7 linked regions of the Sus scrofa genome follow. The protein of the gene in region 1 purifies or fractionates together with the protein of each later gene. This does not show direct contact. Links are inferred from orthologs where the notes say so. Each region holds a gene or a part of one and is shown in the gene's direction. Other genes may lie near its edges.

What was found.
Region 2: the proteins of CLK3 (region 1) and PSME3 purify together in Homo sapiens (affinity purification with mass spectrometry; 5 studies listed by BioGRID and IntAct, counting the BioPlex papers as one, with this or other methods). This does not show direct contact. The link is inferred for Sus scrofa from reciprocal best matches to the Homo sapiens genes CLK3 and PSME3.
Region 3: the proteins of CLK3 (region 1) and TNPO3 purify together in Homo sapiens (affinity purification with mass spectrometry; 4 studies listed by BioGRID and IntAct, counting the BioPlex papers as one, with this or other methods). This does not show direct contact. The link is inferred for Sus scrofa from reciprocal best matches to the Homo sapiens genes CLK3 and TNPO3.
Region 4: the proteins of CLK3 (region 1) and GPATCH8 purify together in Homo sapiens (affinity purification with mass spectrometry; 3 studies listed by BioGRID and IntAct, counting the BioPlex papers as one, with this or other methods). This does not show direct contact. The link is inferred for Sus scrofa from reciprocal best matches to the Homo sapiens genes CLK3 and GPATCH8.
Region 5: the proteins of CLK3 (region 1) and HSP90AB1 purify together in Homo sapiens (affinity purification with mass spectrometry; 3 studies listed by BioGRID and IntAct, with this or other methods). This does not show direct contact. The link is inferred for Sus scrofa from reciprocal best matches to the Homo sapiens genes CLK3 and HSP90AB1.
Region 6: the proteins of CLK3 (region 1) and FAM192A purify together in Homo sapiens (affinity purification with mass spectrometry; 3 studies listed by BioGRID and IntAct, counting the BioPlex papers as one, with this or other methods). This does not show direct contact. The link is inferred for Sus scrofa from reciprocal best matches to the Homo sapiens genes CLK3 and PSME3IP1.
Region 7: the proteins of CLK3 (region 1) and CDC37 purify together in Homo sapiens (affinity purification with mass spectrometry; 4 studies listed by BioGRID and IntAct, counting the BioPlex papers as one, with this or other methods). This does not show direct contact. The link is inferred for Sus scrofa from reciprocal best matches to the Homo sapiens genes CLK3 and CDC37.

What each region holds. Positions count from the first base shown.
Region 1 is NC_010449.5:58,906,597-58,910,851, reverse strand, and holds the start of CLK3 (dual specificity protein kinase CLK3), read left to right. Parts: upstream 1-1,235; 5' UTR 1,236-1,341; intron 1,342-4,179; exon of another isoform or gene 4,180-4,255. UniProt on the Homo sapiens protein: Dual specificity kinase acting on both serine/threonine and tyrosine-containing substrates. Phosphorylates serine- and arginine-rich (SR) proteins of the spliceosomal complex.
Region 2 is NC_010454.4:20,032,534-20,036,881, reverse strand, and holds the start of PSME3 (proteasome activator complex subunit 3), read left to right. Parts: upstream 1-1,535; 5' UTR 1,536-1,536; coding exon 1,537-1,578; intron 1,579-2,071; exon of another isoform or gene 2,072-2,086; coding exon of another isoform or gene 2,087-2,161; intron 2,162-2,263; coding exon 2,264-2,296; intron 2,297-2,419; coding exon 2,420-2,482; intron 2,483-2,677; coding exon 2,678-2,782; intron 2,783-3,983; coding exon 3,984-4,032; intron 4,033-4,348. UniProt on the Homo sapiens protein: Subunit of the 11S REG-gamma (also called PA28-gamma) proteasome regulator, a doughnut-shaped homoheptamer which associates with the proteasome. 11S REG-gamma activates the trypsin-like catalytic subunit of the proteasome but inhibits the chymotrypsin-like and postglutamyl-preferring (PGPH) subunits.
Region 3 is NC_010460.4:19,648,936-19,652,679, forward strand, and holds part of TNPO3 (transportin-3), read left to right. Parts: intron 1-780; coding exon 781-897; intron 898-2,500; coding exon 2,501-2,595; intron 2,596-3,744. UniProt on the Homo sapiens protein: Importin, which transports target proteins into the nucleus. Specifically mediates the nuclear import of splicing factor serine/arginine (SR) proteins, such as RBM4, SFRS1 and SFRS2, by recognizing phosphorylated SR domains.
Region 4 is NC_010454.4:18,775,112-18,779,369, forward strand, and holds the start of GPATCH8 (G patch domain-containing protein 8), read left to right. Parts: upstream 1-1,392; 5' UTR 1,393-1,507; coding exon 1,508-1,552; intron 1,553-4,258.
Region 5 is NC_010449.5:39,242,377-39,246,651, forward strand, and holds the start of HSP90AB1 (heat shock protein HSP 90-beta), read left to right. Parts: upstream 1-1,397; 5' UTR 1,398-1,639; intron 1,640-3,018; coding exon 3,019-3,165; intron 3,166-3,456; coding exon 3,457-3,663; intron 3,664-3,764; coding exon 3,765-3,924; intron 3,925-4,068; coding exon 4,069-4,202; intron 4,203-4,275. UniProt on the Homo sapiens protein: Molecular chaperone that promotes the maturation, structural maintenance and proper regulation of specific target proteins involved for instance in cell cycle control and signal transduction. Undergoes a functional cycle linked to its ATPase activity.
Region 6 is NC_010448.4:19,140,699-19,144,442, reverse strand, and holds part of FAM192A (protein FAM192A), read left to right. Parts: intron 1-1,977; exon of another isoform or gene 1,978-2,111; intron 2,112-2,544; 5' UTR 2,545-2,559; coding exon 2,560-2,686; intron 2,687-3,224; coding exon 3,225-3,323; intron 3,324-3,716; coding exon 3,717-3,744. UniProt on the Homo sapiens protein: Promotes the association of the proteasome activator complex subunit PSME3 with the 20S proteasome and regulates its activity.
Region 7 is NC_010444.4:69,209,998-69,214,525, reverse strand, and holds the start of CDC37 (hsp90 co-chaperone Cdc37), read left to right. Parts: upstream 1-1,616; 5' UTR 1,617-1,710; coding exon 1,711-1,812; intron 1,813-4,528. UniProt on the Homo sapiens protein: Co-chaperone that binds to numerous kinases and promotes their interaction with the Hsp90 complex, resulting in stabilization and promotion of their activity. Inhibits HSP90AA1 ATPase activity.

The sequences.
Region 1 (4,255 bases):
TTAAGGGGGAACTAGAGGTTAGAGACTGTAGAGGCCTCGCAACTCCGGAGGGGTCGTTTCCTTTTGGAATCCGCCTCAGTGGCTGGGAGACTAGCCGGATGTCAGGGGCGTGACCAGCCCTCGCTGCGGCGAGGGCGGAGGCGGGGCCGGGGCTGGGGAAAGGGGTGGTGACAAGCAGGCCCACGCGGTGCTGGGGAAATGCTGCAGCCTTCGCAGTTCAGTCCCCGGGAGGGGCGGGGCCCGGAAGGATGCTGTGTCCCTCCTTCTTGGGCCCTGGCGTGGCTAGGGGGCAATTAGAGGCCGCTCCCGCCCTCTTTGACCGACGCCAGCGAGAGCCGGGGGGGGGGGGGGGCCAGGGAGTGCACGCTCATAAACCGCGAGGTCTCCCAAAGGACCTGACCTCGGTTTTCTCATCTGGAAAAGATGACCTCCTTATCTCCCTATGACCAAGAGCGGGGCAGTAGGTGGCCGGGGCTTCGGTGAGCCCGCGCCGGCGGCGGGGGCAGAGAGGTCACCAGGTGACTCCAGGGGAGAAATAGGAGTGAGGGGGGCCGCGGGGCTTTTCTTCGGCGGGGGTGGGACGCGGGTGGTTATGAACTAAGAAACAACTCTGGTCTGCTCACTGCCGTGCCCAAGAATGCTCAAGGAAAACGAGACCCCCTTTTACCCCAGAACCCGTCCCTTTCCCTTCAAAGGCCCCGCCGACGTGACTCTCCAGTATCTTCCCAGAAACTGCAGTGCACATACACCGGGCTTGGACGCGCCGCCATGACTTTAAAAAGCTCCTCCACACATGAATAAGGTCTCATTTGCTTCTTTCACATCAGCGGGAGTCGGGAACCTCCTTCCCGATCCTCCGTGGGCTTTAGCGCCCTCCAGGGCCTCGAGGCCGGGCTGGCGCTCAAGGCCTACCCAGTTTTCACTTGAGGCGACAGCGAAACAATGCCCTCCTCCCGGCGCTCAGGAAAGGAAAGGCCAAGCGGGCTTGGGCGGGGTCGGGGCTCCACCTTTCGGCTCTCAGCGCCTGTCCACCGGTGCCCCCCGCCGCATCTTTGAGGCCTACGTGCCTCGTGACACGGCAGGGGGCGGGCCGCGGCTGGGGACATCCCCTCGGCCCTCCAGGAACCAGGTTCCACCGCCGCCGCAGCGACCCAGGTGGACAGGGCGGGTCCTCCAGAGTCTTCGAGTTCACGGCTAGAGGGGCCAAGTCGCCGAGCTCAGTCGACCGACGGCTGCGTCACGGGAGGGGCGGGCCCGCCACGGGCGGAGGCCGGAGCCGGAAGCGGAAGAGGCGCTCGGAGCGGGGAGTGGGGCCTAGCCTCAGCCGGAGCCTGGGAGACGGTGAGTGTGGGGCCCTGGCCCGCGACGAGGAGCGGGGGGTTGAGTCAGAGGGGCGGGTACGCTGGGTGTGGGTCCCCGGGCTTCTAGTTCGGGCTTGGTCTGCTCTCTTTCGTTCTCTTGGCCCATCTCAGGCCGCGGCCCCGACCTCTCACCCCTGACCTGCCGCTTCTCCCCCAGAGGGCGGTCACAGCAGACCCCAGTCTCTCGATCCTGTGCGTCCGAGTCCGAACCTGTGAGAGGCCCCTGAGGGCCCTGCAGGGATCCACCTTCGGCCCTATACCTGCCCGCGGAATGGGGTCAGGGTCCTACCTGCGACAGCCTGGAGGGGCTTTCAGACCCCTCCCCTAACCCTGGCTCGAGGCTGGGTCGGCAGACTCCTCCTCTCCGCGCGGCTTGGAGTCTGATTCCGGCCCAAGCTGGCTTTCCTCCTGCCCGCCTCCCCCACCCCAGGTCTCCCCTCGCCTCCATTGGCGGCGGTTACCAGGAACCCGCCTCAGATCTCTGGGACCCGCGGCGTCAGGAAGGACGCGAGCGAGGGCTGCGGGCCCCCTGATTGTTTTGTTGTGATGATGGAGCCGCTCCAGCCCGGAGGAGGGGCCGAGCCAAGCTGACAGTACAAATGCCCGGGCTGCTGCATGGTCCAGGAGTCTCTGTGCTTTAGTTCCGGGTGCGGGTGTCCTGGTGTGGAGCTGGGGTGGGAATCGCCTGAGCCAGGGCCCCGTTGAGGCGGAGTTGGCGGCCTTCCAGCTTCCCTCCTCCATGCCCTTGAAAAGGAGGAGCGTTTCTCCCGGTGGTGGCGGCTTGCAAGGTGGCAGGTTTGAGGTTGCAGTGTTGGGGCAGCGTCAGCCAAAAATAACCATGGGGCGCTGGGGTGGCTGGGATCCGGCAGGGCTGCCGCTGACTTGGCTGGCTGCTCTTGTCAACCCAGTTCTCTGGCCAGGAACAGCAAATGAGAAGACAGCTAGGCCTGTGCTCAGAGAAAAGCTGGCATCCTCGCCCTGGTTTCTTTCACATTACCTTTTTCTTAATTGTGCCAAGCAGAGCCTTCTGGAACGTAATTGTGGCCCTTGTTTTTCTTTTACAACCTGTTTGCTGGGGTCTCAGAGAATCAGAGATAATTGAGGAGAAATGGGCCCTAGAACCCTAGCTGGGAGGATTATGAGGGGCATCTGGTGTTACCATTATTTCACCTGCCTAGAATGTGTTAAAACAGGGGAGATTATGTCCTCTCTGATTGCCTTGCGTGTGATACTTTATATCTCTCATATTTGTCATTCCCTTTGCCAACTTGGCTGGGAGGTGGTCATATCTCCATTTTCCAGATATTGTAACCATGGCCCAGAGTGACTTGTATAAGGTCACAAGGCCAAGTGGCAGCACTGGGATTTACTTTAGGTATAGGGTTTTCTACCTATACCTCTCTCCCCTCTGCTCCCTTGGGACTTATGAACTACCTTTAATGCTTTTAAGGCATTTAACATAGACCCAGAGGTGTTACTTGGAAACTTTTTAATGAAAAGCTGCCTTCAGTATCTCTTGTGACCCATGCTAGGCATTTGACCCAAGGGCATGTACTAGGCATGTTACTTTAAGATGTGACATAAACCCTGTAAGTGATTACTGTTCCTTTGTTGCAAGAGGAAGCTGAAGGGTAGAGGTGTTTAATAACCTGCCTAAAGGCACAAGCTAGAAGTGGCCATGTCAGCATTCATGTTGACATCAGCGTGACTGAAGCTGTGCTCTTTCCACTAACATGAACATGTGTGCACTAAGAATCTTCTAGGTCCCAGGAAGGAGTCTAGCCTGATACGGACTAGACCCCGTGACTTCCAGCTCTGGTGCTTTGCCCAGTGAGGATGGGCAAGCCCTTTGCCCTGGCCACTGAAGCATCTTCCATGTCACTTAGTGACACAGATGTGAGATACCGTCTTCATCCCACAGCTTGGTCACGTGACCCAGCCTAACTGGGGAGAAACAGTGAACATTAGTCAGCTGATCACCAAAAGAGAGCAGCAGTCTGAGCTCTTGAGGAGGTGTTACAAAGTATTTATCTGGAAGGATTGCTCAGGCCCAGCCTTCCTATGGAGGCAGTGTCAGGGTTTGGATTGTGGGTGGAACAGGGAGCTGGCCTCACATACCCATCTTTCTCGTTTGATGGCTGATCCAAGATGGCAATTTCCTGTGGTGGCTGTAAGTCCACACTGAACCAGGGATAGGGAGGTGGGGCCCCTTTGGCCTGCTTTCCCAAGCACACAGCCTGCCAGACAGCCGATCCTCTAGTTCCTCCTGAAATTCAGAATATAGAAGTGGGGACAGTAGTGGGATAGAGGTGAGGCACTGCCTGGCATGGCACCAGTGGCAGGTGGTCTGAGGGTGCTAAATAGGTTTCAGGCAAGAAACTTGGTTGCTCTGAGGACTTTATTGATGCTGAGACTGAATAGAGACCATGAAGGGCTGGAGAGACCCCCATATCTGCTTGGCCAGACCCCAAGGGATGTTTGTGGGGCCCCGTGTACCTCTTTCTCCAAGGGCTGGTCTTCTCGTTTCTGCCAGTGGCTCCTCACACTAAATTGTGGTCCTTGCTCCCTTGTGTAGGGTCCAGTTCCAGAGCCTCAGCCAGACAACTTGGCTTTTCAAACTTGAGGACTTTCACCCTTTGCTCCTGTGTGTTGACTCCTGCCAGCAGCCTTTTGACTCTGGCCTCTGGCTTGACAGAAAAGGCACTTCCTAGGACCCTACAGACAGGCAGGAGGGAACTGAGCACAGGAGTCTCCCTTTCTTCTTGGCCCCAGACTCTTGTGAAGGTGCTCACCAGCCTCTCCCTGCATTCTACCTCAGCACTTGTCCTGGCTTGCCCAGTTCTCCTAGTGCTCAGACCACCAGGCCACTGATGCTCTGCTGGGGAGGAAGCTGT
Region 2 (4,348 bases), on another chromosome or scaffold:
AATCCCTGGCCTTGCTCAAGGGGTTAAGGATTGGGCTTTGCTGTAAACTATGGTGTAGGTTGCAGATGCAGCTCGGATCTGGCATTGCTGTGGCTGTGGCATAGGCCAGCACCTGCAGCTCTGATTCAACCCCTAGCCTAGGAACTTCCAAGTTTCACGTGCAGCCCGAGAAAATAAAAAATAAGAAAGATCTAACTATCCGAAAGACCTATTCTTCCAGTTTTCCCATAGCACAGAGTGCCTCACTCCTGGTTTCCACCCTGAGCTCTGCTTAGTGGGTTCTGCAGGTCAGCAGCTGCCATGGCTCATGGTTTAATCCACGTAGAGGCAGATGGCAAGTAACCGTAAATGCGAAACTCCAGTTCACAAGATTTAACTTACATAAGTGACTCACATTATATTTCTAGCCTCTGAGACACTGCTGTCCCAGAGCCTACTCCGATTTGTTGTGCGAAATAACCAATGCTATAAGACAGATGAATGGGTGAATTAAGACAGACAGCCTGGGGAGTTCCCACTGTGTGCAACTGGTTAAGTATCTGGCCTTGTTACTACAGAGGCTCCATTCCCTGCGGTCTCCAGGGTTCAATCCCAGGCCCAGGAACTTCCACCTGCCTCCGGTGGGTGGGGGGCGGGGCTGGGCGACAAAAAGTCGGGTAGGGGGGAATACAGTCTCCGCCTTCCACGAGGAAAATGGATACAGCATTGCCCTAGAAGTTAGGAGATGTGAGTTCTGGACTTGGATATACTGTAAACACTGTGTAGCCTAGGACAAGCACCGCCAGACTACAGGCATCAATTTGTCCATACATCTGGCACTTGATCTCTGAGGTCTAGGAGTAAGCGGCTAAATGGCAGAGAAAGGCGGGGAAGCCTGGTACAACAGGACTTGTTTCCTATCAGGCTCCAACCTAACATGAGAGCTTGGACCAAGAGGAGGAGACAGCAGGAATCAGAGACTAGACGCCCCGAACCCAGCGCGGGTACCACCGGCTTCCTCGGGCCGACGTCACCGGGGCGCGACGGCGTCTTCTGTCGGGTCCCCCACTCCAGGCAGCAGCGCCTCCGACGGTCCCTTCGGTGAAGGTGAGTGCCGGAATAACAGAGAGGCAAACGGTCCTCGAGTCTCTCTGAGACTCCGATCTCACTCCACCACCCTCTGCTGCCCTCCCTTTTACTTCACCCTTATCGGGCACAGGAGCCGAGAGATAGGAGCAGAGCTACCATCGTTCAGAGCCGAACCTCAGCGCGGCTGCGCAGGGCACGTGCACATCCTCTCGGAGTCCCGGCGATTGGCTGTGACGTAACTTCCGGTGTGAGCGGCGAAAGCCGGGAGGGCGAGCGAGAGAGAGCAGGCAGCAGGCAGCAGGCGGGCGGACGGACGGCACGAAGGGAGGGAGCAAGTGAGCAGTGAGTGGGCCAGCGAGAGCGGCCGCGTCCCGAGAGCAGCCGAGATTCCTCCCGTCCCTCTGACCCTCTCCCCGGAGCCCACAGCGCCTCCGGTCTCCAGCGGAGCGGACACGGCCCGGCCCGGCCATGGCCTCGTTGCTGAAGGTGGATCAGGAAGTAAAGCTCAAGGTAGGGGTACGGTCCGGGCTTCCTTACTCCTTGCTTCGATCCTCGAGCTGTCTGACTGGCTCCCTACTCCCCATGGCGTCTTTGTCTCCCTGGGGACACCAGCCCTGAGCTTCCGCTCGGCTCAGCCCAGCCCCCCACTCCCAGAGATGGCATCGGGGGAGACGCTACTATGGGGTGGCCTTCTGTACCCTGTCTAATGGTGGAGAGCCCCGGGGAGACTTCCGCGGACACGTGGTGGACTTAGTGCTTTAGGCCAGTGACAGCTGGAAGTCCCCCCAGCCCAGCAACGTCCCCATCTCTGGGCGCTGCTACTGCCCCTGCCCTTGGCGTCAGGCCTGCCTCACATCCTAGGCCAGGTTTGTATGGGGGTTGACATGTTTGTGAGCTCACGCCTCTCCCATCTACCTGTCTTTTGTCTGCTTTCAAATTCAGACAAGCTACAGACAAAGGGAGGGAGGGAGGGAAGACAGGTGGGTGCTGCCCTCCAGCCCCGCTTCCCTCTCCTGAGATGGAGAAATGGATCCTTAAAAAAATAAAGTATTTGCAGTCTGGGGGCCTCTCAGCTTCTCATTACAATTACAAGGTGAGGGAAAGACAGTTGGATTTGGGTTTCCCCATCCTGCCCATACTTCTCTTGCCAGGTACTGACTTGCTCTTACTGAATTGCTTTCTTTGTTAATTTTAGGTTGATTCTTTCAGGGAGCGGATTACAAGTGAGGTGAGTGAAAGAAGTAGAAAATCGAGCATTGGTTAATGGTTGGGAGTTCTCCAGAGAAGAGATGTCTGTAGAGACAGACCTTCCCTCAGTTACTAATTCAGCTATATTTTCCCTCATCTTTAGGCAGAAGACTTGGTGGCAAATTTTTTCCCAAAGAAATTGTTAGAACTTGATAGTTTTTTGAAGGTGAGAGACCCTTTTCTTTTCCTCAGAGTCCCCAGTTTTTTTGGCCCTGGTCTTTCTGTCAAATGGGACAAATGACGTGTTGATTCTATCTTGTTTTGTGCTGTAAAGCCGTCTTCATATGTTGCCCTTGAAATGAAATACTTCTTTGTTCATTTTGAAAAGACTGATGTTTTGGGGGTGGGCGTCTCTTTTCAGGAGCCAATCCTAAACATCCATGACCTAACTCAGATCCACTCAGACATGAATCTCCCAGTCCCTGACCCCATTCTTCTCACCAATAGCCATGATGGACTGGACGGTGTAAGTATCCTGTATTTATCTCTGTGTGTGTGCCGAAGCAGTAGGCGCTCTGTCCTCAAGTCTCTGGTCAGCTTGAACGTGTACAGGGGTACAGGGGACAGTGGGATTTGGATCTGGGAATGAGGATTCTTTTTTTTTTTTTTTTGGCTTTTTGCTATTGCTTTGGGCCGCTCCCGCGGCATATGGAGGTTCCCAGGCTAGGGGTTGAATCAGAGCTGTAGCCACCGGCCTACACCAGAGCCACAGCAACGCGAGATCCAAGCCGCGTCTGCAGCCTACACCACAGCTCATGGCAACGCCGGATCGTTAACCCACTGAGCAAGGGCAGGGATCGAACCCGCAACCTCATGGTTCCTAGTCGGATTCGTTAACCACTGCGCCACGACGGGAACTCCCGGAATGAGGATTCTTACAGACATATGACTTTGGTACACCCCCTTCGGTCCCCGGTTTTCATTTGTAGCATGTGTTAATGGGTACTCTGTTAGAGTGAGTTGAAAATAGGGCTAATAGTGACAAGGTCCCTCAGGTTACCTGGTCTGTCACCATGGCTCTAGGCAAGACTTTTCATCCCTGTTTCAGTGTCTTGAGTCTTGTTATGGGAGGGGGCAATTGTTCTTGCTATATAACTGCAGTTCCCCGTCTTTCTGTATCTTTAGCAACTAGTCTTTAGAATATGTCCACATTCTGTTATAACAATGATGACCCCATATTGTTATTTATCTGCTATATATATTGTTATTTATCCGTCGGTGTCTCATGGGTAGAACTTGCACTTTTGGAAAGGAGAAACTATCTGAATTATCTTTGTATCCCCAGCACCTAGCATTGTTCCTTGCAAGTGCTAAATACATGTTTGTTGATTGAATATTCTTTGTGGAACAAGCACATTTGTTTATAATCCCCTTAGTTATACTCACTCTGCATTCAGTAGTTCATTCTTTCTGTTGTTCATAGTATCCACCCCTCCCCTGGTTGCCTAATGTGTTATATTTCTTGAAAAGTTGGTCTTTCCAACTATAGTGTAAGTTGCTTTGTGGGAAGAACCTTTTCTTAAAGCTTTGTGTGTGCTTAGTGAATTGTGGGTAAATTAATAAGACAACCTGTGAAGTCAAGGTAGGGATTAAACTTGCTAGAAGGGTAACTTGCAGTGGGGATGTGAGTGTCGAATAGGCTGATTCTTGTCTCTTTGTATCCTTAGCCCACTTACAAGAAGCGAAGGTTGGATGAATGTGAAGAGGCCTTCCAAGGTAAGAGCCACCTTCACTGTCCCCTACCCCAACCCTTCCTGGCTTGCAGCCCTGAGAAGCAGGATGGATCTGGTGCTCTCCTGTCCAGCAAGCAGGATCTGATTTTATTTCCTAGCATTAGCATTCCTAAGCTCTCCAGACATTGTCTAGTACTCTAAACCTAATTTTCCTTTCCTCTTTTTTTGTCTTTATAGGGCTGCACTCACGGCATATGGAGGTTCCCGGGCTAGGGGTCTGATCAGAGCTGTTGCTGCTGGCCTACACCACAGTCACAGCAATGCCAGGTCTGAGCCGCATCTTCGACCTACACCACAGC
Region 3 (3,744 bases), on another chromosome or scaffold:
TTGATCATTTGTCCCTGCTTTGGTTCTTTAAAGAAAAGAATTATCTGGAATTCCCTGGTGCCCTGGAGGTTAAGGATCTACATTGTGACTGTTGTGGCTCGGGTCACTGCCATGGTGCAGTTTCGATCCCTGACCCTGGGACTTCTGGATGCCACAGGTTCAGCCAAAAGCAGTAAGAATTATCTTTAGTAGTTCCCATTGTGGCTCAGTGGTTAACAAATCTCACTGGGAACCATGAGGTTACGGGTTCAATCCCTGGCCTTGCTCAGTGGGTTAAGGATCCGGTGTTGCCGTGGGCTGTGGTGTAGGTCGCAGACGCGGCTCGGGTCCCACGTGGCTGCGGCTGTGGCTTAGGCTGGCGGCTACAGCTCTGATTCGACCCCTGGCCTGGGAACCTCCATGTGCCAAGGGTGTGGCCCTAGAAAGACAAAAAGAAAAAAAAAGAATAATCTTTAATGCAAATAAGAGCAACCTGTAGGCTAGAAAATTTAGATGTTCTATGTTAGGGTTTTAACAAATATTATACAAGCTTTGGATATGAACACTTTAATGGTTCTAGCTTGAAGTATTATACAATTCTTACTGCATTGTTTTGGAAAGATAAAAGGTCAAAGGCTTAAAAGAACTCTAAATAGAGTACTTGAAATTATTGAGGAATTGAAGCCTATGTTTTTAAAAAATGTTGCCTATCTATCTCAGAATATCTTCCTCTAGACAGCTAGCTAAGCTGATTCTTTTTGAGGGCTGAAAAATTGAACTAACTGGTTTTTCCCTTGGCAGATGGTGAATGTTTACCATGTACATCAGCATTCCTGTTTCCTGTACCTTGGTAGTATCCTTGTGGATGAATATGGCATGGAAGAGGGCTGTCGGCAGGGACTACTAGACATGCTCCAGGTGTGTTTTCTGTGGGGAATATAGATGTGTTGGGCTTGGAGGGTCTAAAGGCCAGGCATTGTGTTCTTCACCATGTCTTTTTAAAAAAATTCTTTTCTTTGATTAAAGTATAGTTAATTTACAATGTTGTGCCACTTTCGGTGTGTACATTATGTTGTTAATTCTGTTGCTTCTTTATGTTTCTCTCCCAGTCATGATGATTTCCTAATAACATGAAAGTAGAACTACCTAGTGGTTCTCTGGACAGTAGACAGGCTTGCTTGGTAAAATGAGAGAGAGATTGACCACAGAAATGTGCTATTCCTTGCAGTTATTACAGCCTAATTTATGCCTTCCAGAAATAGGGTTTTTTGGGAAGGTAGGCAAATGGATTTTTTTTTTTTTTTTTTTTTTTTTCCTTTTTAGGGCCGTAGCTGCAGGATATGAAGTTCCCAGGCTAGGGGTCAAATCAGAGGTGCAGCTGTCAGCGTACACCACAGCCATAGCATTACCAGATCCTTAACCCACTGAGCAAGGCCAGGGATCAAACCCACATCTTCATAAATACTAGTCAGGTTCATTACCACTTAGCCATAACGGGAACTCCCGGCAAGTGGATTTAAATTAAAGGATTTGAAAGCTCAAGTATGATTCTGTTTTTAATTTCTTGCCTGGAACCCCCAATTAACTGGTTTACATAGCAGGGATATGGTCTTAAGATAAGTAGCAGGAAGTAGGAAAGGCTCCTGATCTGCTTCTTTTCCCTCCCTCCTAGTCATAGTGGAGAAAATACGTTAGGGGATTAAATCATATGCTGCTTTTCCCAAGATGTCTTTCCTTTTAAAACTGACATTTCATTATTGTTATTAAAACTTCATCTTCTCCCTTAGTGGACCAGACCATATCTAATGCATAAGCATTGTCTTCACTTTTAATAACTTCTAAAACTTTGAGGTGATATCTATCCAGTTTCATCAGCTAAAATCTATACCTCAACCCTTTCTGAAATGTTCTATGTGAAGACTGTGCCAACTAAGAAAGGCTTACATCCTTCCTTCCTTTCTTTTCTTTCTTTTTTTTTTTTTGGCTGCGCCCATGGCATCTGGAAGTTGCTGAGCCAGGGATCAGACCTGAGCCGCTAGTGACAACACTGGAACTTTAACCCGTTGCACCACAAAGGAACCCCTGTCTTCCCTTTCTTGATCTGATTCTCATTGAAGTTTTTTTTTTTTTTTTTTTTTTTTGGTCTTTTTGCTATTTCTTGGGCCACTCTTGCGGCATATGGAGGTTCCCAGGCTGGGAGTCGAATCGGAGCTGTAATTGCTGGCCTACGCCAGAGCCTCAGCAACTCGGGATCCAAGCCGCGTCTGCGACCCACACCACAGCTCACGGCAACGCTAGATCCTTAACCCACTGAGCAAGGCCAGGGATCGAACCCGCAACCTCATGGTTCCTAGTCGGATTCGTTAACCATTGTACCACGACGGGAACTCCTGATTCTCATTGAAGTCTTTTTCTTTTCTTATCTGTGCTTCCCTTCTCTTTGTATGTTATGCTATTTAGCAAGTCTCAATCCTGTGGCATTTATTTACAGGCATTTATTTTTAAATAACTTCTGTTTTAGGCACTGTGTATCCCCACCTTTCAGCTCTTAGAACAGCAGAATGGTCTTCAGAATCACCCTGACACCGTGGATGACTTATTCAGGCTAGCCACCAGGTCAGTGCTTCTGAAGGGCAGTCCCTTTCTTCTGCTGCTCTTCCCCATCACTGCTTAATCTTGTTACCTAACACGTAACTTCCCTTCTCTGTAAAATGAGGTAAGAAGAGTGGGTAGGTTAATGATTCATAACCCAAAAGTTAAATCGTGAAACAGAATATCTCCATAAGTGAAGAAGAGTTGGATGGGAGCAGGAGAAAGCATGAGTTCCTTTCATGAAGGTGGGTACACACCCAGGACAATAAAAATGAGCTGTCTAAGAACATTTGACTAGCCAGTCTCTAGAATCCTGTATAGTTTTAATATTTTATGCTACTATGATATCATGCTTAACTTAGCTCTTTCTTTGAGAAGCTTATCATCCTTTAGATACAATCATAGGCTTTTTTTTTTTTTTTTTTTTTTTTTTTTAATGGCTATACCTGAGGCATATTAAAGTTCCTAGGCCTGGGATTAAACCCATGTCTCAGCAGCAAGCTGAGCTACTGCAGTCAAATTCTTAACCTACTGCACCACAGCGGGAACGCCAAAAATTCTTAGGCTTGTAAGATGCCTTAGAAGTTACCTGGTACTGTACTTCCCAATTCTACCCCTAGCCTGCTACCCCCCACTTGTTCAAATTTCTTTTACATGTAACACTGACATTTGTATTTGTTCTGAGTCCCTAGCTCAGGAATTTGACCCCTATCCCTTGGTAAACATAAAAACATTATAAAATAATAAGCCATTATTAAATATATGTATTATATATGTAGTTATGTATTTTTATCATTTACAAATGTAAAGTGTTATTGACTATTTCATCTTAGGATTGAGTAATGAGCACCTTTTTTGGTTAGTTTTTAGACAAGTTAGAAAAACCTTATTTTGAGTTGGTGTGAGAGAATTGTTGGATGGGCTATCAGTCTGTTTTCACAGTGTGTTCCTTAAAAAATTAATCTCTGGAGATGCTCTTTACACAAATCGTTGCCTATTAAAATAAATTGGAAACAATATTTTATCTTTTCCTTGGAGATTCTTTAGGTACATTGGAGGATCTGAGAAAATTGAGTGGGACTTATAGAGAGTTCCCATATATTCCTAGCTTCCTCTCCCCTTGCCCCACAGTCTCCCTCAATATCAACATTCCTCACCAGAGTGGTCCATTCA
Region 4 (4,258 bases), on another chromosome or scaffold:
GATCAGAGCCAGGTCTGCAACCTACACCATAGCTCACAGCAACGCTGGATCCTTAACCCATTGAGCAAGGCCAGGGATCGAACTCACATCCTCATGGATACTAGCTGGGTTCTTAACCCACTGAACCACAATGGGAACTCCCTATGACTTTATCCTTTAAATGTCATTTTAGTGGGGTTAAGAGGAGAAGAGGTAAATGTGTTTTGTGTATCCATGGGATTCAGGTTGCCACATTTATGCACAAGTCATTTCACAATGTTTAAATTCTGAGTGTTCTGCCTCTCCTTATACAAAGAGGCAGCTCTTTTCACTGCTTAGAACTATATTCTTGGACTAGGAGTTGGGTGAGGCAAAGTGTGACAAAAGAATAGAAGATACACACATTCTTTCCAAAAAATTACCTTCATTTTGATTCTCAGGTAGAGAAAGAGTCATTTTTCCACCGTGGGATTTCCATCAGCTACTCTTTGGAAAAGCAGGCAAGTCCAGCTGTCTTTCTTATGGTTTTATGTATTTTGGCTAAGGGAGCTGGAGGGCTGGGTGGGGTGCTCAGGAAGGTCAAAAGATGGAAAAATCTGATTCATAACTCATACAAAGTCAGTGCTAGGCAGGGGCAGTAGAGATTACTGAATTCAATTTCCTTTTTTTTTTTTTTAAATGGAAGCTGAAGCCCAGAGGGCTGTAGTTGATTTGAATAGACTTTGGTCTCTTGGGAAATACTTCTCTCTAATGATCGTTAGAAAATGTCACGTTATTAGTAGTCATTGGCCCTTTGAGTGCTCCAAGGCTGCCGGGCCCCTTTCTGTTCCTTGGTCAAAGGTCTTTTCAGAGGGCGTTCTTCTCATGACCAGTCTGGTTTTTTGCTCTTGTTGCCTTTTTGGTTTTTTGGTAGCACTCGTTAATTTTTAAAATTATGTAATTATTTTATTATTTATCTGGTTTTCCCTGTAAGCACTATGAGAGAAGAGATCTTTCCTGTCTCGTTCGCCACTCAATCCTCAGAGTGAACCGGGATTCGAACCTAATAGTCTGGGTCCAAAATCCGCGCTTTCAGCCACTACATTATGCTCTTATTTGGTGAAGAAAGCAGAGGATGGGCTTCTGCGTTCCTAGGCAAGCAAGAGGGCAAGAAGACATCTCCCTACTGGGAGAAACGAGCAGGTGGAAAACATCCGCACCCAAGCGAGCGGCGCCCCCTCTTGACCTTTCTCTCCGGAAGCGCATGCAGGCCTCCGCTGCGAGTGCGCACGCGCGGCCGCCGGGGGTCGCTCTGGGTCGCGCGCGGAGCGGGGACGTGAGGGGAGGTTCCGCCCCTGGGGCAGAAGGGCGCCTGCGCCAGCGGGGCTCGGGTCGGGACGCGCAATCTCGCTCCCTCCCTCCCTCGCCTGCGCGCGCGGGTGGGCGTGGGAGGAGGCGGGGAACAGGGGAGGGGAGCGAGGGGGCGGGTGTCGCGGGAGGGACGGAGCGAACCGTAGAGCGTCGTCCTGAGAGGAGTGAAGGCGGCAAAATGGCGGACCGCTTCTCCCGCTTCAACGAGGACCGAGACTTTCAGGTAAACACGGGCGTCGCCGAGGATCCGGGGAAGGCGCTGGCCGCGCCAGAACCTCCTCATCCCCTGCTCCCAGCTCTCCACCCCCACCCCCCCGTTCTGCTCCGGCTTCCGAACCGGCTCCCTTTTCTCCCGCGTCCGATTCCTCCAGGGGCCTCCTAAGCTTGAGGCGAGGCCGCATCTCCTCTCAGCTCGTATTCTTACCTCTTAATTCAGGCGGCAGGGTTTGCGGCCTCGGTCTGTTCCGGCTGCGGCTTTGGGAGCCCCAGCCTGGCGGCTGAGTGGGGGGCTGTGCTGCCCTCGGGTGTGCCGGGCGTGTGCGGGCGCTAGGTTGGCTCCCAGAGGCAAAGGGGGGGTGGGGTGGGGGTCAGAGGGCTTGGGGCGAGTGTTGCTGAAACCAGGGCTCCCGAACCCCTGGATTTTGCTCGTACGGCTCTTCTTGGGGTTCTTCTCCCTCTTTCCTCACTGTAACAAATAAATCCCTTTCATTGTCTATTTTATCATTTCCTTGCCCGGAAAAAAGGGGCTTTATTTATCAGATGCCTTCTTGGTTAGTCACACAATGAGATTTTCCTGGGCGAAATGTTGTTGTTGTCATTAGGCCGTTAATTGGCCTTGCAAAACAGCTTGGAAGATGGTCGATGTAAGCTTAGCCCCAAATCCTACCTTGAGCGATTTGTAAGAAGCGTCATGATAACGGACTTTACAAGCAGATGATGACTAGTATCAAAGGCTTGATTTTTCTTTCCAAAGTTGCAAATGTTGTCTGGAAAAATGTCCTTGCCATGGCAGGCGTTATGGAGGAAAAAATAAAGGCCAAATGAGAACAACACGTCTTTCGGCTGTTTCGAATACCTTCCTGTTGAGCATTGTTACCGCAGAAATCTCTGCGACTAAAGGGCATTTGGTAGAGATGGGCTCTTTCTAGGGTAAAAGACATCCTCAGAGTCTCAAAGAAACCACTGCATTACTACCGCATATCCCAGCAACAGCAGTTTGGGTCTGGGGATGAACAACCGAACTCAAGTTTTTATCCCGCTGCAGATCTTTCTCAGCAACACGGGGATATTCTAGTTTGGTTTCAAAAGGCAGTTTGAAATGGTTTGAATTCCCCGGGAAGATTGGGTTGGTAAATAAACAGGTAAAGCAGTTCAGCCAACACTGTTAACAGTCTAATGCATAGAACGCTAAATGAGAAGTTTTGCAGCAGCAGTAAGGGATCTGGGGGCTGTCGAAAAGCCTTGTGATCAGGCGCCTGCTGTATAGCTGCAGCACTACACAAGATCTCAAGGTGTTTGAAGATATTATGCAAGTCCAGGGAAGTTTGAAGTAGTTCATATTAGCCGTTTCCCTGGGACATGATCTCTGGAAAAGGTGGTGGGTTTGGTTTTGTTTTTAGGGAGCACCATAAAACATGAGTAAGCTGCAGGATGTGTGGGGTTTATTGGTAGTTTTTAAAGAGACGGGTGACAACTAAAACCCTCAAATACTTTTAAGAGGAGGTAATTTGAAGGTCACTTAGTAAAATTGAAAATAGATAATATGGACAATTAAGTTTTGTGTTTGTCAGCCACAGGATTTCAGCAGTCTTAAACAGGATTTGCAGGGCCTTGACAGTTTTTGAAAACTGGAGAGCAGAGTATGAATGTGGTCACCTGAAAAAATCGAGAAAACCTCTATTTTTTTTTTTTTTCCAAGTAAAATGATTCTCTTTTCTGTTGCTTTAGTGGAGACCTGCTTTTGGTTGCTTGGTAATTCTTTGAAGATACTACATGTATTTTATTTATTGCTTTTAAGTTGGAATACCCAATTCCTACTATATTGTGTCAGCCAGGTAAATGTTGGTTTTTTTAAATTCAGACATCCTAGTATTGTGGGTAAATACGGTGTTGGTAATAAAAACCTTTTAGATAATTACAGAATGTTAGAACTTTCTATTAATTGTGCTAACATTTCTGAAAATCACTTACTTAAAAATACTTAAAAGTACTATTTTTTCATGGATGTTTTAATGTAGGGGAAAATGTAGATTGATTTTCATTAGTGATGTTACTTGATTTAAAATTATTGGAGAGGAGTTCCCGTCGTGGCGCAGTGGTTAATGAACCCGACTAGGAACCATGAGGTTTCGGGTTCGATCCCTTCCCTTGCTCAGTGGGTTAACGATCCGGTTGCCGTGAGCTGTGGTGTAGGTTGCAGACGCGGCTCGGATCCCGCGTTGCTGAGGCTCTGGCGTAGGCCGGTGGCTACAGCTCCGATTCGACCCCTAGCCTGGGACCCTCCATATGCGAGAGCGGCCCAAGAAAATGGCAAAAAGACAAAAAAAAAAAAAAAATTGGAGAGAAAAGATGCTTCTGTATATAGAGTATTTGAAACATTGTTCAAGGTCAGGCTATTCAGAATTAACTGTGGCCTCCTTTTAAGGTTTTAAGTGATAAATGAGATGACGCTATGGAGTACACTTGAAAACAAATCCAGAGTAGGTTTCCAAACAAAGTGCACAGATGCTGTTGCTTTAAACAGATCTTGTAGCACTGGAAATTTTTCTGTGCACCTTTTCTGGTGAGTTCTAGATGACTATCACTGTCTTTGCCTTTCTGTCACATTTTGGCAAGATAATTTAGAATTGTAGAATTTTATTCTTTGCCAGTTTACCACCAAGTGCAAAGTTTGGGGAGTTTGAATGTTGTCACTTGAATTTAGTATGGA
Region 5 (4,275 bases), about 20 Mb from region 1:
GGGCTGCCGAGGGAGGTCTGCGGGTCGGAGGTATCCCTCTCCCAAGCATTCCAGGGGCGGACAAAGTGGGCCACGAAGGGAGTTGAGGGAGTTGCTGGGCATCCACAAGGTCACGGCGCAGGGAGCGGTCATTCTCTCCCGGAGGGGCTGTGGGGCGGGTGAGCTCCAGAGATGAGGCCTTGGAAAGGCGAGGACAGCGTACCCGCCCCGAAGGCAAGCAAAAGCGGCAGGGCCAGGCGAGGCAGCTGGGCCGGCGCTTGGCTTGGGGGCTCCGGCGCCGCAGCAGCTGAAGGGGAACAACCTGGTTCTGCCCGCCAGGAGCGAGCAGCCCTTTGGCCAGCATGAAGGCGCTGGTGTCTTCATGCCACCTCCTAGAACCCCCGCCACCCAGCGGGGGTCCCTGGAGATCCTCCCCTCCCCAGACCTAGACAGTTGCAGGAGGGGAAAGAATTTTTGTAAAAAGAAAAGGAAACCAGATTGTATGTGCATGCCCCTGCGTGCGACACGCGTGGGCGGCTGCAGAGGCTGGGGAGGGTTTCTCAGGTAGCGACGCCACCCTCAGTCTCGGCTCCGAAGGCGGTTCTCGCAGAGCCGCCCCAATAACCCGTGTGCTGTGTGACTGACGGGGGAGAAAGGGGGGATCATCCCTGTTCCACCCCACCCTGGACGCAATGCTGAGCGAGCTGGGTCTGGCGGGTGGCGAAGAGGGTGCCGGGTGTAGTTGCCCGCCAGCAACATAGGATCGAAGTTGCCCACCTCTCCCGGAGATTCAAGCATAACGTTGGAGAGGCGGAGCCGCCGCAGAGGCACAGCCCAGTCCGCAGAAAAAGGGGTGGAGCCCCAAGGGAAGAGGGCGGGGCGGGGCGGGACAGGACCGTAGAGGCGGATCTGGAAACTGCTGGAAGATCGCAGCACCGCCACTGTCGCTCCTTCCGCCGCTTGCAGACAAAGAGTGCCCTCCACACCCGAGCCGGCGACCTTCTAGCAGCGGAAGCCACGCCCCGCAGCGAGACGCTGGCACTGCCCATTGTCCCCTGGGAGTGCCAGGGTTCGCGGGCTGCCCAAAGTTCGGCTTCAAATTCCCCAGTGTCCCCGGAAAGGACCCTTTCCCCTTATTGGGCAGTAGGAATGTGTAAGGAAGATTGTAGCAGGGAGGGAGCATAGGTGGGAGTAGTTGGTCCCCTTTCAGGTGTTCCTCTGGGATTCTTTGGTGTGGAGGCACCTGCTCTACAGGTTTTTACTGAGGTCAGCGGGGATTCTGTTCCCTAGAGCCACGGCATTTGTCCTATGAGTATACCCAACATCTAGCTCTGGTGGTGTCCTGTCTTCAGGACGCGGAGATGGGACTAAGAAAAAGTCTACACATGCGCGCCCTTGCTCTTCACCGCCCCCTCCCCTATTTTGGACCATGACGTAAAGGTGGGCGGGCAGCGGCAGGTGCGGGGCTGACAGACAGCCTCCTTTAAGGCGGAGGGATCTGGGGGCGGGCAGCGAAGGTGTGCTTCGCCTTATATAAAGCGACTGGGGTCTCACAGCCGTTCTCTTGAGTCACCCCCCGCGCAGCCTTGTTCTGGCGTGAGAGCCGGAGGCAGTCCTTCCCCGCTCAGCTTTGTGGTGTTTGTGATCCTTATCCTTTAAGGTAAGGTTGCACTCTTAAGGCATTTCTGGTTAAATTTCAGGTTGCTTTCGTCCATTCTGTCCTTTCTGAGACCCAAGTTTTTGTCGTGCTGGGGCGGTTTGCTGGACAACGCTCCCAATTTTTTTAGAGGGTGGGTGGAAGGGAGCTCTCGAGTTTAGCTTTTCCTTCCATGCTTGGTGTCGGGCCTTCTAGGCGGCTGTTAGGCCTGGGCGAGTGGGGCTGGGGGACTGGGCGGCTACACGTGGTAGCCGCGCCGGCCCGGGACGCTGCCATGTTTGCCCCTCTACTTCCGGACGCGACTACGGGGCGCCAGAGGGTGGGCAAGGTTGGTGGGTGTGCGGGCCCGGTGTGACTCAGCACAGCATGGTTCTGGGTAGGTTTTGCCATCTCTTTTATAGAAGGGAGTTTTTCTAGTCCTTAGTGTGAGGGTTTGCGGCAAAGGATGCTTTGGAGCTCCAGTGGCCCATCGTGCTTCCTGCTTCGAGCTCATTCCTGCAGTCAGGGTGGAGGGGTAGCGGAGGAGGCAGGCTTGAGAATTTATGGGAGCATTTCTTCGTCGTCCTCTTTTCTCCCCGTTGGCTGGAATTGTTCTGGAAGGTTCTGGAACTCGGCGCCCCGCCCTGGTGCCCGGATGCTGAGGCGAAGGGAGGCTGCGCGGTGGCGCCCCCTCCTCGCGTGGTCCTGGCCGACGCATGTCCGGCATCGACGAGCGTCGGCCCCGCGGACTACGCCACCATCTTAGTTGTATTTGGTTTGGTCCTGTACCTCAGTCACGTGTGCTACAGGGACAGAGTGGAGCCTTTTGCTTTATCGGTTCTTTGTCTTAATGGCATCCCAAGTGGGTATCCCACGATTCTCTCGCGTTAGCCTCCCTTACCACGTGAGGTAGCAATTTCACATCTTCCTGGAGGTGAAGGGAGAGCAGTTTCAAATGATAGCCCCTTTAAGGTAAAACTGGTCTGTTTGGGGGGGGGGCTCCCTCCCCTCCACCAGAAATGGTAGAACCGTAGTTACTAATTTGTACATTTGAATATGTATGTAGGTCTTCTGCTTATTCACATTTAAGAAACCGGGGTTGGGCGAGGTACTCTGCATGCCTAAGAGATTACCAGGTGATGAGAGGCTGCTGATCCGTGGATGGATCGCCTAACATCCTAACAAAATGCTTAAGAGACCTTAAGGCATTTTGGGGGCTGTATTAGCAGCCCCCCCCCCCCCCGCCCCTCTTATTCTCAGACTGAGGGCGCAGCCTGAAGTCTTTAAAGGAAAGGTCTTGCATCTCAGTACTCGGTTCAGAACAACTTGAACTGAACCTCTTAGTGTCTTTATTGTAATTGGGGTGAACTTGAGTCCAAAGTTCTTCATCTCTCTTATTTTAGATGCCTGAGGAAGTGCACCATGGCGAGGAGGAAGTGGAGACTTTTGCCTTCCAGGCAGAAATCGCCCAGCTCATGTCTCTCATCATCAATACCTTTTATTCCAACAAGGAGATTTTTCTTCGGGAGTTGATCAGTAATGCTTCTGATGTGAGTTCCCTGAGCGTCTTCATTGGCATTTGTTTGTTTCTCGAGTACTTCAAAGAAGGAGAGGGGTGATTGGGCATTTTGTGGGTTTTATTTTTGAAGGGAATATAAACTTCAATTCTAAAAAGGTTTTGCCTTGCTTTATGTGGATAGATGGCGTACTCTAACTGGATGTACGTCTCAAGCTTCAAATGAAAGGGGTTATCAGAAATGAGGTTATCTGGGAGTAGGAAAAAACTTTTTCTATTGGATGAGGTGGAAGCAGAATTGTAAAACTGCAATTTGTATTTTCAGGCCTTGGACAAGATTCGCTATGAGAGCCTGACAGACCCTTCCAAATTGGACAGTGGTAAAGAGCTGAAAATTGACATCATCCCCAACCCCCAGGAGCGCACCCTGACTCTGGTAGACACAGGCATTGGCATGACCAAAGCTGATCTCATAAATAATTTGGGAACCATTGCCAAGTCTGGTACTAAAGCATTTATGGAGGCTCTTCAGGTATGTGGTATTTCAGCTAGGCATGCACCATTCATATTCATTGATGTTTAGTTTGCTGTTTCTTCAAAACTTGTGTTTGACTTTTTAAAACTTTTTGGTAGGCTGGTGCAGACATCTCCATGATTGGACAGTTTGGTGTTGGCTTCTATTCTGCCTACCTGGTGGCAGAGAAAGTGGTTGTGATCACAAAGCACAATGATGATGAACAGTATGCCTGGGAGTCTTCTGCTGGGGGCTCCTTCACAGTTCGTGCTGACCATGGTAGGCTGATTTTCCTGTTGGGTGTCGGGGATAGAATTCTGAGGGAACAGTGGTAAAGATCTTGAGCATTCTAATGGTGAGACATTGGTCTTTGTTGTTCAGCACTTAGTTTTCTTTTTCACTCCGTTTTGATTGACTTTCTAGGTGAGCCCATTGGCCGAGGTACCAAGGTCATTCTGCATCTTAAGGAGGACCAGACAGAATACTTAGAAGAGAGACGGGTGAAAGAGGTGGTAAAGAAGCACTCACAGTTCATAGGTTATCCCATCACACTTTATGTGAGTATGAACTGGTAACTCAATTGTCTGCTGCAGGAGACACTTGGTTTTTTATTTTCTGTAGTCTGAAATT
Region 6 (3,744 bases), on another chromosome or scaffold:
ATTTTATGTAACATTAAAGGAACTAGTAATGTTTGACCCAGAAAAGGAGCAAATTAGGGGGAACATGGCAGTTGTCTTCAAACAACTGAAGCATTGTCTGCTGAAGAGGGGATTTGGCTCCGTTTGTGTACGTCCCAGTGCATCGAACCTGTGTGTGGAATTTACAGGGGGATGGATTTCAGTTCTGTCTATTTCAGTTCTGTCAATTCTAAGAACTATTATACTAGTCAGATCTGCTCCGAGGCTTGGCTGCCTGGAAGGGAGGGCAGTGATCAATCTTGAAATAAGGATTGGTTGAAAATCTCCTGGGTATGGACTGTAGGTTCCATTGCCAGTTGGAGAATCATGTTAGGTGGGCTATAAGGACCTGTCATGTTCTGAATTATTTACCAGGAAATAAGGGTGAGGGGAAGAAAGCAGACAGCCAATAGAGGACGAGAAAAGAGAGCTACAGCTAAGAAAGGGCACATGAATGTCCAGTATGTCTCTTCTGTCCCTTAGAGTTCTACATAGTTGACATTTTTTCTGCCAGAGACATTTAAGAAAATGTTGGCTCTCTTTCCATTAGAGTTCACTCTGTAGCACTTGAATTTTTGGCATTTTTGGCGTAGTCACAGAGCCAAAAAATTACGAAAACAATTATGTTTCTGTACTAGGTCTCTGGCTAGAGACATTGAGTAGTGCTTAATCAGAAGTGTCCAGGTTGCGGGATTTAGGTGGCAGCAACAGCTTCTGTCAGTTGATCTGGTTTTCTTTCTAGTGAATTAAAAAATTCTCTTACTGTTACCTTGAACTAGACTTCAGCTACAGTAGGATTTAAGCTGAGACTATTTTCTTGTTCTGCATGTTTGGATTTGTTTTCTCAGCTTACATTTTTGTCTTGACTAGAGAAAAATGTTTCATGAACATTCTCAGCACTGGAGTTTGAACTCTTTTCACCCAGGATCCCTGATTTCCAGGGAGGGGTATGGTCACCTGGGTAAGAGCGTGAATTTTTGCTGTCAGGCCTGGATTTGATTCTCATCTCCATCATTCACCACCTTTATCACCTTAGACAAGTGACCTAACTTTTTTGGACCTCCATTTCTTCAGCTGTAAAGAGATGGTATCTAGGGTCAGTATGAGCATAAAAGAGATACTATACATTTAAAGTATTTAGTAGGTAGTAAGAGAGTAAATGGTAATTAATTCATTTTTGTGCTAGCAGTAGAGGCTTCTTTTTTTGTTATTAGGGGTCATCTTGGAATAGACATTGAGTAGTGTAGAATATGTGCTTCCTTGTTAGGATTTATTTCTACGAATAGCTCATAATGTATGAGTTATTATTAACATAGAGTTAATTCCACAGTTCTTCAAAAGGAAAGAAACCAGCAAAGAAAAGCAGGAAGGTTTAGTTTAAAAGAAGTAATACACATACACATGCCTCTGTCTTTATTTCCTTCTCCCCTCCTTTCTTTCTTTCTTTCTTTCTTTTTTTTTTTTTTTTTTTTTTGTCTTTTTGTCTTTTCTTGTGCTGCTCCCGTCGCATATGGAGGTTCCCAGGCTAGGGGTCCAGTTGGAGCTGCATCTGCCGGCCTACACCACAGCCACAGCAATGTGGGATCTGAGCCGTGTCTGCGACCTACGCCACAGCTCACGGCAACGCCGGATCCTTAACCCACTGAGCAAGGGCAGGGATCGAACCCGCAACCTCATGGTTCCTAGTTGGATTCGTTAACCACTGCGCCACGATGGGAACTCCCCTCCCCTCCTTTCTAAAGGAAGAGTCAGGGATTTGAGTCTTCTACATCAACATATGCATAAAATGGCTGAGGTTATTATAGGAATGAAAAAAAAGACAAAGACTGAGGATAGAATACTAAGTGGCACCGATGGGGAGTTTACAGGGAGGAAGGACAGGAAGAGATGAAGGGAGGTGTCGGTTTAGCAGAGGGCAGAATACATTGAACCTGAACTTAGGCGATCTGGTTCTTCTAGCCTCCACTTTATCCACTCGTGGTTTGAGTGCCTCTAGGTGTATCCCTTCCCTGTTGAACAGACTAGACTCATCTCTAAGCCTCCTTGAATACCTGCGTTTCTCCTTTCTGAATCTACTTGGAAGTAAGGTACAGGTGAGTAAAGTAGTGTCATGTCCCTGAAATAGGAATTTCGAGATGGAACAATGTCAGATGTTATAGAAATAATGGAGGATAAGAACTGGGAAAAAGATATGGAGCTCAGGAGGCCAATTTGTTTAGATGAAAGGGACAGAGAAAAATCTGGGATGTAAGAGTTTCTTTGGAATGGCCTATCATGAGAGTTACTCTAAGTTTTCACGGTGACTTTGAAGATAACATAGATGGTTAATGAAACCATCTGATACACGAGGAAAATGTAATCATGTGCTTTCATCAATTACCTGTAAATTATTTGAAGACTGCTTTAGTTCAGGGTTGAAAGGAATTTGAGTAGTCTGTTGCTGGGGGAAGACAGAGCTCAATCTTCTTGTTTCTATGTAATTTTAATTGCAGTTCTCACTTGAAATATTTTGTTTGTTTTTTGTAGACTTCTTGTTCCATTATGGATGGAGGGGATGATGGTAACCTTGTTATCAAAAAGAGGTTTGTATCTGAGGCAGAACTAGATGAACGGCGCAAAAGGAGGCAAGAAGAATGGGAGAAAGTTCGAAAACCTGAAGATCCAGAAGGTACATAGGCTTATAGTCTGGCATTCAACATAGTGATCTTTAATCCTGTGCAAAGTAGGTATTCACGTCTTCATTAAGTCATTAATTCTGCTGTAGAGTTGCTCCGTCGCTGGGAGCTGCCCCAGGATCCTCACATCCTTGCCCTTTGCACCTATCACACTGTCTTCCAGGAGGTTCCCCTAGTCTCTTCCATCTATACAGGTGGATCCAGGCTCTGAACAGCTGAGAGTGTTGCTACCATGTTGGGTTTGGGTGGGTGCCTCATCCAGTTAACCGGCTCAGGCCGGGGCCTATTGACATTGATAGTTGGCTTTGAGAACTGCTGGCCCCTCTCTGAGGTCCAAAGGGTAGCTGTGGACTTTGAACTATTTTTGTGTTATCTTTGCCATCAGATCGTGCAGAGACTTGACTTTATCTTTAAAAATCCTTTGTGGCTCCAAAAGAATATGAAAGTATTCTAAAGTATATGTTTTGGTTTTTTTTTTCCTTCTCCCTCCCTTTCTCCTGCCCCCTTTCTCTCCCTTCCTCTTTCTTTCAGAATGCCCAGAGGAGGTTTATGACCCTCGCTCTCTATATGAAAGGCTACAGGAACAGAAGGACAGGAAGCAGCAGGAGTATGAGGAACAGTTCAAATTCAGTAAGCTTCAAAAAACACAGCATCCAAGCAACTGTATAGGGCCTTTTTGGTGCACTTTTGCCTCGTGCAACACTTTCTAACTAGCCATGGAATTGTCTTGATTATCTAATCTCTAGAAGCTCATTTGGTGGAAAAGAGATAACTTTGTACCATCTAGACTACAAAGAACATTTTGTTTAGAACTCAAGAAGCCTATTTTAATTCTATGCTAATATCTAGTAGTGGGAGAGAAGCCTTGATTTTATGCCAGGTTATCTCTCCAAAAGCCACAGTGTTTACAAATTCTTTCTTCTAATCCCCTGAAGGATACACTGTTTATTAAAAAAAAAAATCTTATTGGACTGTATTTTCTCTTTAGCCTGCTAAGTGTTCCTTGTTTAATTATTCCCTCAGAAAACATGGTAAGAGGCTTAGATGAAGA
Region 7 (4,528 bases), on another chromosome or scaffold:
CCGGAATCCCCGACATCCGGGGTTCTCCCCACACACCTTCAGCCCAGAAGCCGGCCTGAAGCCCTCAGAGGGCGTACAGGGGGGACTTTGATTTTAATGGGGGGTACCTGACTTTTCTGGGGGACAGGAAAACTCCCTCCGTCTTAGCCCCCTCCCTCTTGGGCGCCAGGTTCCCCTCCCCACCGCAGCTTTTAGCCCAAATCTTACCTTGCAGGGGGACTGGGGAGGGGATGCCCCGCCCTCTCCGGCCTGGGGGGCGGGAGGGGACAGGGGTGTCCAGACCCTTTGTTGTTTGCTGGTGTGTGTGTGTGTGTGTGTGTGTGTGTGTGTGTGCGCGCGCGCGCACGCGCGATTGTCAGACCTGAGGTGTGGGTCCGTGCGCGCGCGAGCCCAGGCCGTGACGGCTGCTGAGATGCTGGACTGCCGGGGCTGGAGAGGGAGGAGGAGGAGAGGGGGACTCCCCCGCCCCCGCCCGCCTCCTTGCCGGTTTGAATGAAGCGTGAGGGGGAGGGGAGGCAGCGGGCAGGAGCTTTGTCAGGACGTGTCCCCTCCCCTTCCCCCGACTGGGGAATCCCCTCCCATCCCCCCTGCGCCCCCATTTAGAGACCTTTACTCCTTTCTCTCCAGCCTTTTCCCTCCAAACGCCCACTCTGGGGGAGTCTGGAAGAGGCGCCCTTCACGCAAGTGGTTGAAGCTTCTCCCATCCCCCACGCCATCGGAGCATCCTTTAATCTGAGATAATCCCGGCCCTAGGCTGCAACGCGGCCTTTTATCCTGGTATCAAAGCGTGGGTAGGGATATATGAAAGTGTGTGGCTGGGGTCGCTCAAGCTCAATGTAAGAGTCCTTAGAGCCCAGGACCAGAAAAGGGGCCCCAGACGAAAGGGGAAGGCCTGCTAGCGGTCCTAGAGCACTACCACCGGGAAAGATTCCCCACTTGGTGTGAGGCCAGAAGCACTGGCCGCTAGTTAGACATTGGTGCCACCCAGCGGCCGCACGGGGAGACGCTGTGGATCGGCTCCCGAGACTAGTTAAATGAAGTCTGGGTGATTCCGAAGGGGGGCGCGCGAATCCCCGTTCAGGAGTGGCAGAAGCGAGGAGGAGGCTGTGGTTCGAGCCGGGGAAACACCAGGCCCCAAGGCAGAGCCACAGCACTCCCATCACCTCCAACCCCTCAAGGGCAGGGCCATATCCTTCCTTCACTTAGACCCTCCCAGGACAGGGTCCTGTACCCCTCGGACTGGGAAGGTCCTTCCATATCAGACAACCTCCCCAACACAGCTAAATCCCCCTTCACAAGGAACCCAGCAGTGGGCTAGGGCTGACGTCACTGCAGCGTGGCTAAGAGGACAATCCTCTCCCTCAGGCTCGCCAACTGCTCACTTACGGCCGCCGTAAAGGCCCACTATGCGGCGGCAGGAGATTAGCGGGGCTCGAGGTTGGAGAACCCACTCATATACCCCCCAGGAAGTGCCCGAAGCAGGATGGGATGAGGTTTGAGGGAGAATCCCAGGAGTTGGGACACGTGCGCAGGGCTCTTTAAGAACTCGGTCGCCAGGGCCGCTGCCAGGGTTACTAAGGATGTGACGTCACGTGCGGGCGGGGGCGTGCGCGCCCAGACGGAAGCGGAAGGGGCGGGGCTCGGCGGTCCGAGTCTCCGTGCTGCCGCTACCGCCGCCAGAGTCGGAGCTGGCTGGGCCGCCAAGGCAAGATGGTGGACTACAGCGTGTGGGATCACATCGAGGTGTCTGACGATGAAGACGAGACGCACCCCAATATCGACACTGCCAGCCTCTTCCGCTGGAGGCACCAGGTAGAGCGCGCGCGGCCAGCCCCTTCCCCCACTCCCGGGTCTCTGCTTCAGAGTTCTGACTTCAGATACTGCTAGGAACCCGGCCATGGACACCTGAGATTCCCACCCTACAGTCTGGACTTTCAGTAGCGCCCAGGGTTCTTCGATTCAACTCCGGGATCCCAGAACTTCCGGGACCCTTGAGTCCCTTGCCTGCTATCCGAGCCTCCCCCTGCCGATTTCTTCTTGGAACTCCCAGTTCACCCCTAGGGCACCTTCTTCAGAGTTTAACTACCAAGACAAGCTTTGGGCTTCCCCCCCAGTTCCGTTTGGGACCTTCCATTTACGCTCCGAATCTTACCTCAGAATCTTGACCCTGATCCTATTCAAGTACCCCCTTGTGATCTTGGACATCCCATGGGCCCCTCCCAATCCCTAGAGTTCCCAGTACTTTAAGTTGTAAGTCTGTTCTTCGATCGGCCTTTCTGGGTCCCAGTGGTGATTCCCGTTTAGATCCAGAAATCCTCTAAATACAACAAGGAATTCTGTCCTTCCTTGAGATTTCTGTTCCTGGCGTGGGACTCCAGCCCACACCCAGGACCCCTTTCCTGGAACTTAAACCAGTGCCCATCAGTATCCTTAGTCCCATCTAGGACTGGCATTTTGAAACCTAGTTCCCTTTCAGATTGAACCACCAGCTCTACCCTTGATGGAGCTTCCAATTCCGGCCACTCTCCTTCAGCCTCACATACTGTAGACCCAGTTTCCCATTATGTCAGGAAATCCTACCCACGTGGCTTCCCCCCAGCTAGAGCCCCTGCCCCTGCTTGGTACTGCAGACCCAGTCACCAAACTCTCCCCCCCACCCAAGACAGGCTTCCTGTAGGAGTCAGCTTTGGAAAGCCTCATTCAAATGCAAGTCCAGGACCCAAACCCACCCCTTCTTCCTTCTGACCCTAGCATGGACTGCTGATCTCAGACACCCAGAGTGACCCTGCTTTTACCAGAAACCCTCCCAGTCTGATTCCAGATTCATTGCCCTACTTTTACTTATTCCCCAAATCCAGACTCCAGGATCCCAAAGTCTGTTCTCTTGCCCTTCTCCCACCCAGCAGTGTTCACAGGCCAGCAAAATAGCCCTCCTAAGATGTAATGTTCTAGCCTCCTGCTCCCCAAAATCAGAGCTCCGGCACCCACATTCCTGTGCCTATGAGACTTTGAAACTCAGGGCATATACCTCTCAGAACCTTCCAGTTAGGAATTCCTCACCCCATTTTTCCGTGTATCAGCTCCCAGTCCTTTTTCTAGAAACTCCTAGAAGGGCTCTTCCCCTTCCTGCCAAGACACAGCATGAGTCCCTACATCTGCTACCCAGTGCTAGTTCCAACCCATTCCTTAAAGCAGCAGTCTCCTGGGTAGTGTCCCTGCTGGGCAAGCCGCTGGAGTGTAAGAAGAAAGTTCTAGCACTTCTCTCTTTCTTGCCATGTGTAACATTTTATCATGAAATATTTAAGATCTCTGCAAAGCTCTGAAGACTATCCTCAGGAACATGGATTACTGTCACATAGTCAATCTATGCCACTGTGTGGTGGATGTTCTGGTCCTGCTGGGCGGCAGGCTAGTGCCCCCTCTCCTACCTCGTCTTCCTCTCACCACGCCCTTCTCCCTCCTGGCCAAAACTCTTTCCTGGCCTGCTACTGAGAGTTCCTGGGCAGCGGTGGAGAGGGTCGGAGGTAGAGAGCCTGGTGTCTCCAGCAGCACCAAGTTCAGTGGCAGGCAAGCCTAGGTTCTTATCCCAGCCCTGCCACAGGACACTGGTGCTTTACTCTAGGGGGAGCAAGACCCCCACCTCCACGAGTCAATCATAGGAAGTGAGTAAGCATTCCAGAGGGAAAGAGGGGATTCTAGAACAAATAGCCTGGAGTGCTTCTGAGCGCAGGCCTGCCCACCTGGGTTCAGATCCTGGCTCCTTCAGAATCACAGACTTACTGCCTGGCAAGTTGTTTTTTCTTTTTCTTTTCTTTTTTTTTTTTCATTTTTGGCCACCCCATGGCATGTGACGTTCCCAGGCCAGAGATCAGATTTGAGTCGCAGTCGTGACCAAAGCTGCAGCTGTGGCACTGGCAGATCCTTGACCCACTGTGCCAGGTCGGGGATTGAACCAGAGTCACAGTGCTCCCAAGATGCCACCTGTCTCGTGCCACAGTGGGAGCCCTCCCAGTGAGTTTGGATTGCTCTGTGCCTTCATTTCCCCAGCAGGGAATCTTCACAGTATCTACCCCATAGGGTTGTTGTGAGGATCACCTTTTGTATTTAATGTGTGTTAACACTCTCAGGACAGCACACGGATGGAATAAGTTCTGTGGAGACTTTAGTTTTTGTCATCGTTTAGGTCATTCACACTCATGGTAAAAAAAAAAAGAACCTCAAGATTCCAGAGGGGACAGGTGAGTCCTCCCAGCTCCAGCTCCCTGCCTCCCTGGCTCCCTTGCCCAGAGACAAATAAGTACTGGTTTCTTGTGGCCCCTTCCAGTGAGCTTATGTGGCATCAAGGTTCTGGGAGCCTCGGTTCCCTTATGTATAAGGCAAGGTGTCAGTGACACCTGTGGCCCCTTCTCACTGCTGGGGCTTCTGCCCTGCCCAGCTGGGTACAGCCCCTCCTAGAGCTGTAAAGCCCATGCCAGGCAGGCTGCCACCCTCACCGCTCCAGGAGTCCTTTATTTAGCTTGGGCCTCCT